Saccharomyces cerevisiae S288C: one gene and its partner. Changing the gene in region 2 together with the main gene of any one other region gives a genetic interaction. Each region holds a gene or a part of one and is shown on either strand. Other genes may lie near its edges.

The links. A genetic interaction does not mean that the proteins touch.
Region 1: of ASG7 (region 2) and STE3, changing one enhances a phenotype caused by changing the other (phenotypic enhancement), as found in Saccharomyces cerevisiae (one study listed by BioGRID).

What each region holds. Positions count from the first base shown.
Region 1 is NC_001143.9:112,715-116,864, forward strand, and holds STE3 (Ste3p), read right to left. Parts: upstream 1,914-4,150; coding exon 501-1,913; downstream 1-500. Other genes in the region: LST4 (Lst4p), read right to left, coding at 2,786-4,150. UniProt on the Saccharomyces cerevisiae protein: Receptor for the peptide pheromone a factor.
Region 2 is NC_001142.9:99,889-104,038, forward strand, and holds ASG7 (Asg7p), read right to left. Parts: upstream 1,892-4,150; coding exon 1,262-1,891; downstream 1-1,261. Other genes in the region: TOH1 (Toh1p), read right to left, coding at 1-1,006; histone methyltransferase SET2, read right to left, coding at 2,339-4,150. UniProt on the Saccharomyces cerevisiae protein: Required for receptor inhibition of inappropriately expressed a-factor receptor (STE3) in MAT a cells. Inhibits signaling by relocalizing the G protein beta-gamma (STE4-STE18) subunit to intracellular membranes.

The sequences.
Region 1 (4,150 bases), on a different chromosome or scaffold from region 2:
AATAGTGATAGAGCGAACTGAAATTGTGGGTACCTAAATATTCTTTGATTATGAGCGGAGATATGATGCTCTTTCATGTTTTCCTGGCCTGAATTTTGGTATGCTCCTAAAAAAATGGCCAATTAAGTGATCGTGCCAATTCTCTCGTTTATTAAAGACTGTTCTGCTAATCGACTTTTGGAGCAAAAGCTTACTTTTGTTTCGAGCTTAAAAAATTTTTCTTGTGTGGAACTTGTATCAATTTCTCCTTATATTTATATATAATACAGACGTTATTGCTTTTCTATAGAAAAAAATAGAAACCAAAGTAGCAAAAAAGCAGTAAATATTAAAGTAAAGTTTACACACAATTCGTCATTTTTACCGCTAAGCCACATATTAGCTGATGAGCTCATCGTTACATTATTTGAGCCACAATTCACTAAAAAGCAGTATTTCAATCCTAGTCCTGTAAAAATAAAATACTCCTAGTCCAGTAAATATAATGCGACACTCTTGTGTTAAGGGCCTGCAGTATTTTCTGAACTATGTTCGTTTGAGCTTGAATTCTCTTCTTTTGAAGCTGGAGAGTAGCAAAGACTTTCCCCTTCAAAATTGGAGCTTGCAGAATTATGAAGCTTTTCTGAATAATCGAGAGTAACTTTTGAGAATCCTCCAAGTGATATTTCGTCGTCAAAGCTCTGTCCTTGCGTGACGTAAGGGATGTGCCTACTTTCTTTTAGGTCTATTTCATCAAGAATATCATCTGTTTCTTTATCAGCAAACAAATATTTTTTGCTTTTATTTTGAGATTTTCTAGGATCATCTGGAATCCTATAGTCGACATAGAAATGCGCTTGTGATATTGGTGTACCTACACAGGGAGAATAGTTTTCTGTACACGTGGAGATATAGTTCTCAGAGTCTGTAGAAAATGGGTTACGGCTCTCTTTGCGTGAGGACAGCTTGTTTAGCAATATGCCTACTCGTTTTTCCTTATTCTTATCAATGAATCTTTTCCACATGTCAAGTACAAATCCTAGTTTGATGGAACGCAGGAATTTAGAGTACATATGCAAAGCATCAGAACCTAAGCCAAAGATTAGAAATACTAGGTAAGACATCAAAACATAAAGCCATATATTATAAATTGGTCTGCCAGGGTCAAATTTAATAATGGTATTCCAGATGGTGCTGGAATGGGTATTTTTAAAAGTATAGTGTCCTTCTACCTGCTGTAAATCTTGAACAAAGGTGTAAACAGAAAAAGGGAACATGACTAAAATAATAATGAAACAGAATATCAACAGCCTTGCGAACCTTGTCAGGTTTAAACCTGAATTGGTACAGTGTAAAATATCCCTAACGTCCTTGCGTTTTTTATAAAACACGAACAGTACTAAGGTGGCATAAACAGCGCCCACAAATGACCATATAAGCATCCACATGGTATACAAAACAGTGGTAATCCATGTCGGAGACAATAAGTTTTGGCAACCGTTGTAACGAGCGATACCATATCTAAATACTTGTAACAGATATGAAAATCCCATGACCATGACAGGTGTGAACAAGCTAATCACAAGGTCCTTGACGATTTTCGTCCATGATGAAAGATCCGGTAAAACACTATCTGCCTTCAAAATTGTATGCAAGTTGTAAATGATGTTGGTAACGGCACATGATATGCCAATATTCGCACCAACCTGCAACTTGATGACAATATCACACCAACCTTTACCATCCCATCTCGTGAGGAAATCGTCGTCACTCCATATTGCCGCATCTACAATACACGTTAAATTCATTGTAAGAAGCCATGTTATCAAAATGATTGCTGGAATATTCTTGGTATGTGAATGCCATGCTAAAGGGGGAGCTAATAGTATCACAGCTAGCAAACAAAGCCCTATTATTGCTGACTTGTATGACATGAAAATTTTGATAGTATTTTGCCTTTCCTACACAAATTTAATTGCCTCTAAAGTTAAAAAGCAATAAAATAGAATATGTGAATACTGCACAAAATGAATACTTGGGAATTCAGAAATTATTCTTACCTTAAGCATCCACTCATATACATATATATATATATATATGTCTTTTCAAAAGACTTCTGCCCAAATTGTGGAGAGAACTCTGCCTCTCCGTGATAACGGCCAAATGAAACGCATCCAATGATGCAATTATTGACAAAGTTTCAAAGTTTCCGCCATTATTCCTTCATTTACACATTGATAGTCGAGAAGTTTCCTAATTAGTGTCACAATGACAGAGAAAATTGTACCAGCGCTTCTAACGAAAATTAGCACCCATACCCAGAGTTCATAAATCTGGCAATGTGGTACAATAATATAGGATTGGTAACATTTCAATTGTAAAATGTTTAACGTTTAGAGAAAAGGGGAGCCAGAACGCTTCTGGTGGTGTAAATACGGAGAAGTCACCTTAAATAGTTTTGTTCTGATAATTGCATTTTTTTGGAAAGATTTGGCTGCTTAAAAGATTCAAGCAATCAAGAGAAACATTACAAGGCCTGCTTGGCCGGTCTACTAGGCTGAAATAATAAGTTTCTGATTATGGTTATCACGGTAAATGATTACGAAAGGGTAAAGCAACGAATGGTTGTTTTATGGTAAGAATACTTTGGCGAATCAACAAATTGAAGTTGCGCAATGTGCGATTCGCTTATGTATCAAAAAAAACTAAAAAATGAATAGAGAAAATCATATATATAAAAGAAAAAAATATCGTACACCTCTTAGGTAACTTGGAATATATTAAACATGTAAAGAAGGAGAAAACATTAACCTGCATTACAATAATGAACAAGAGATGAAAAAATCCGTAAAGCTTCTGAATCGCGAAGCTCACTATCTATTCCATTATCATCATATAACATCATTGCACTCTTTATACTATTTTCAACAAAATTAACGCAGTTTTCCAAACTAGTACTTAGCTTGCCAATCTTGCCACAGGAAAAGATTTTTCTGGTCTTCTGTTTCAACACGTACTTCCTTTTTCCGACAAAATTCTCATCATAGATATTCTGGTTGCTGTTATTGTTGTTATTGCCAGTAAACTCTCTTTTCAATGCGACATCCCTAATGTCCCTTGAACGTAACGATACTAATAGACTTCTTGTGTAATCCGCCTTTAACAGGTCAATCTTCATAGAATTTGTTATTCTGCTCTCTGATTCTTGACCAGCAGGACATGCTTGCAACTGGAAAAAATTGTTAAAATGGGTTAAATACATTGTATATTTCGGCAATAGTTCCAGAGGTTTATTCATCAAGCCATCATCAATATCAGAATCAGTAGTCAAAATATCCGCATAAGAAGAGTTACCTGGAAAAATTTCGTAAGTGGAATTAAGGTCAGCCAAAGAGGGCTGACATATTCTTTCAAAAGCCTCATCCAAAAGATCATCCTGAGAGATCCTTTGGCAATCTCTTTTCAACTCAACGTTCTTTAGTGGAAATTTATATGATATATTCTTAACCAATGGGGGTGCGTGAGACACATCTCCAACATTAGGAGAGCCAGGTGTGCCCATCCAAGGATACTCATCATATTCGCTGATAGACGGTGATTGTTGCGGAGTGGTTAGTGATAACCTGGAGGTTGCTTGCTGCAAAGAAGACGAACTTGAAGTCCTTTGCATATTTCCAGCAGTTGTTTGCAGCCTCTCCCACGACTCGTTGTGTTTTAAAGAAGGGCTTGGTTGAAAGAACTGAGAAATTGTTGGCCTTTTGTTGAACCAAGAACCGTACGAACCAGGTTGGCTTGAGATAGAAGACGATAGATAATGCAATGAACTACTCCCACTTTTGAAGGAAGATGGCTGAATAACTTCCGCTAAAGACTCACTAGAAGACACAGATACTGAAGTGTTCGAGTTCCTCCGATTGGGTATTTGCCATCCTTTCCTCAAAGAATGGAAATTGGGTGATCCAATGCTGTTAGAGCTCACATTACTGTTGTTGTAATTATGATTGCTATTATTTTCTGTGCGACTCAAAAGGTTGTCTGTTGAAGTCAGTGTGCTCAATTCCGTCTCAGGCTTATCGACAAAATTATTGTTAGACTTATTTCTTGATACAGCGGACGAATCCGATCTTATGTTTTCCCGCCGTATCGTTATTTGTCCCTTGTACTTTGGCTC
Region 2 (4,150 bases):
CAGTATCAGCAGAAACAGTTCCATTGAATGGAGTGGCATCAGATATGAAAGAAACGACATTTCCACTAGAATCGAAAACAACACCACCTTTCATCGTTCCAGTAGTATTTCTTGTTATGTATCCGTAAGATTGGATACCAGTACCCAAATCCTCGATACCTTGGAAAGTGTGGAAAGTAGAATAGAGATGGTTTTTCTCCGTACCATTCATAGCTTCAAAAATATCGTATTCCCCACATCCACTAGCCCAACATGAACAGTTGGCATTGGTTGGATATTGAGAAGTCCTTGCAATGTGATCGTTTAGCAACCAAATAGCAGGCAAGTCATAGTACCCAATAGAGCTGCTATTTTTCTCAGTTTCAGTAGGCATTTCGAATTCAAACAAAAACATCTTTGTTGTACCTCCGTACCCATAGTAAGCTGGAATGCCACTACGGTAAACCCCACAACCCTTATCATAACCTGATTTTGGACATGAGACATTCGAATAGATTATGTATTCTTGATCTGAAGAAATCAAAGTGCCATCTGCCAAAACGGTAGCTTCACTGGCGCTGCCAGTACCGTTAGAACTAGCGTAGGACAAAGCATTTCCTAAACAAGGGGAAGCTTCACCTCCATGATTTAGAAAGGTAACGTTATCAGCGGTTTTGGAACTGGACTCATAGTAGGCAAGACGGTTCCAATCAGAAGAACTTCTGCTGTTGTTGACGGTAAATCCAGGGGATGTGTAAAAAGCAAATTGTTTCAACTTCAATGGTCCACGGAAATGAACGGATAAATAGTCTGCTAGTGGAGCGTTCTTACCACTAAACCATACTCTGTCACCCACTTCGCAAGTACACGATTCATTGTTGGTGATATCTTTAAACTTATTCACATCTACGTAGGAGCCTGTAAAACCAACATTAGTGAAATCCAACTTTTGGTACGACTGAGGTCCACTGGCAGCGACTGTGTGCAACATAAACATGCACACGGAAAGGACTATACTCTGTAACATTTGTCTTATTTAAGCTTGTAATGTTTGCACTTGAGTATGTTCTATTATGGCTGCTTCCTTCGATAAGGATTGTTTCTCGAGGATTTTCAGGTTTATAAATAACCTAAGCTCGGCAAAATAGACAAAAGAAAAGGGCGGAGCCAAGACTTTGAAAAAAAAAAATGGAAAAAGGAACCCTTGCAGATACAGCAAAAATGGGAAATGGAGGCTGTGGAAAAGAAAGAGGCTGATATCATTTTCTGTCTTTAGATCTACCTAACGGCTTTTCTTACATAGGAGAACTACAAATATTATGAGTATAGAATCGATGAGGAGGCCAAGCAAAGACCGTAAATTCCAGTCGCGGAAGGTCTTACGTAATAAATCGTGCGACTCCAGCACATCGTGGGCTACCTTCTTCAAAAACGCGTAACGATATTTTTTCAAGGTGTCATTCTCGTCCTCGACTTGTTCCGTGTTCACGTTTAGGAAAGACGACGGCATACCGTCTTTGCTCTCGTAATATTCTTCGCTGTTGCTATCACTGAAATTCTGCATGACGCGAATCTCTTGGAGGACTTCTTCCTTTATGGGTATCACCGTTCTTTTAGTTATGGCTTCATATTCATAAAATCCTGGGTATTCGTCTTCTTGCAAGTCGTGGAATTCCAATTCATGTGGTTGCCAATACTGTAAGAACCACCAGGCTAAAAGATTCACCAACCAGAAAACGGGGCACAAGATTCCAAAAACAAAAAACCTTGGCAGCCAAGGTTGGACAGGCACACTCATTTTACATGATTTGCATTGGCAACAGTATTTTTTCATCCAAGGGTTCTCATCGTTCTCGAAGGGCGCGGCTAGATGTTTTGTTTTATGCTCAATACTTGATGCTAAAGTAGTCATGTTTCTTGTCGTCATTCTTTGAATTTTTGTAGTCCTATGTACAAGCACAATATAAATGACAGACTAGTCAACGACGCTGACCCTTTATATGTTCCCCGTATATTCCTTGTTTTCATTGCAGTTAACATGTAAATTTCCCGATGCGGTAATTACGTTTCAAAGTCATTTCAACACTTCTATTGACAGCAAAAAAATAAAGACACTTGAAACGCACGATTTTTTCAAGAATAATATCTGTCGAGAAGATGTGTCACATTACCTATCATTACAGTGCTACTGATAGCCCACTAATGCGGATATTTAAATATATGCACCAAAAATGTATAAAGAAATAAACGGTAAAGACAAAAAAAATTACTTATTACAAATCGCAATTACAATTAAAGTACAAGACTTCCTTTGGGACAGAAAACGTGAAACAAGCCCCAAATATGCATGTCTGGTTAATTATGATGATGTTGAAGGTGGAGGAGAAGACATCCTTGTTGATGCTGATGATAATGCCAACGCCTTTTTTTGCTTCTTCTTGAGGATAATCTTATCCATGTATGAATTTATGAATTCTTTAACTTTATGCCTTTTTCCTTTGGTTAAGTCATCAGGCGGCGCTCTTGAAGAATCTTTTTTAAGTTCCTTTGTAGTTAGGATTTTCACGATGTCTTTAGCACATTGTTTAATGTTTTCATGATCAAATTGTTTACTTTGTGGGTTTTTTTTTATTAAGTTGGGTACAAAAGATGCAAAGAATTTATTCCAGTTGTGCTCTAGTCTTTGGGACTGGGAGACCGTTTTTCTTTTCAACCGCTTAGCCTCTTTTGCTTCCACTAGTTTTTTGGCCTCTTCCTTTTGTAACTCCTTCTGTTTGTTGGCCTCCGCTATAATATCCTCCAAAACGCTTTTTCTTTCATTCTCAAGCTTTAGCTTTTGCTTCAGGCTTTCCAATTCTTCTTGTTTGGCTCTTTCTAGCGCAATTCTTTCGTATTCCAGTCTTTTTTGTTTCTTCCTCTCATATTCTTCGTCACTCAGCTTATGTTTCTTAGAGTCTAAAGCGCCAGGCGTTTTTGGTATTCCACTGCTACTCGGAGAATTTACTTGTGTATTTGACCTTGAACTAAAGACCTTAGATGATCCCGAAGGTGGATAGTGTAGTTTCGTTTTCTGTTCTGCATTATAATACAATGGGCGACCGTTTTCGTGAATGATCTCCCAGCCTGGAGGTAATCTCACCCTTCTCAAATCTATCATTTTGCTGGCTGCGACGTTTATGTCTTTCTTCGTTATCCTTTTATATGTTTCAAATTTCGACCATTTCTCCAATAACTCATCGCAGTTTGGCTTTAAAAATGGAAACTTTGCAGGGAGAGTTTTTACTACATTATCAATTTGTGACGACTCAATACCGTTTCGAGTTGTCTTTGGTAATTCCAACAAAAAATCTAAAATTCCCTTTATAAACTTTATATCATCTTCTTCAGTCTCGTTTCCTTTTCCATCTACCTGAGGTTGTTCCGTGATAAACAATTTAAGCATTTTGCTAAAACAGGTGTAACCGTGTAGTTTGATAGCCTGATGACGAAGAGAGTCATCATCGATAGTAAAAAGTCTCTTCAAGAGTTTGGATGCAATTATCTTATTATCTTGCTGTAGTAATACACTCATGATCTTCGTCACATCCACTGGGCTGTCGATAGGTTGGACTTCCAATGATTGAAGAAATTCAATATTTATGTTCTCGTTTTCATTCTTTATTATTGGCTCACCGCTTAATTTCTTTAACTTTAGCCATTTTTTCTCCATGGAAACAGTCACTCCCAAGGCATCAGCGATGTTCTGGGGCAATAAAGATGCCGCATCTGTTTGAGTCTTACCACCGAGAAACCCAATACAATTTGGCTCCTCACAGTAGCATTTCTGAGCTTGAGCACCATAACGATCCACATTATAATCAAAAGTGATTTCCTCACCTTTTAAAATTTTTCTTTGAGCAAATATTCCCATGCGTAGCTTATCCTTAACAACCCATTTATTAACATATGCATTGGGGCTGCAAGAGTGATTGCAAAATCTGGCCAACGAACCCTTTATTGTGGCGTCAATGAATTCTCCGTTCTGTAACATCATAAAATAAAAATGCTTGAAATGACGTTGGTCATAGTCTATTAACCTATCTCTAAATTCCATCTCCTCGATCACCTCACCTTTGTACTCGTAAATGAACTGGTTGGCTTCTATGTCCTGTTCGGCTCTTACGCCATAACC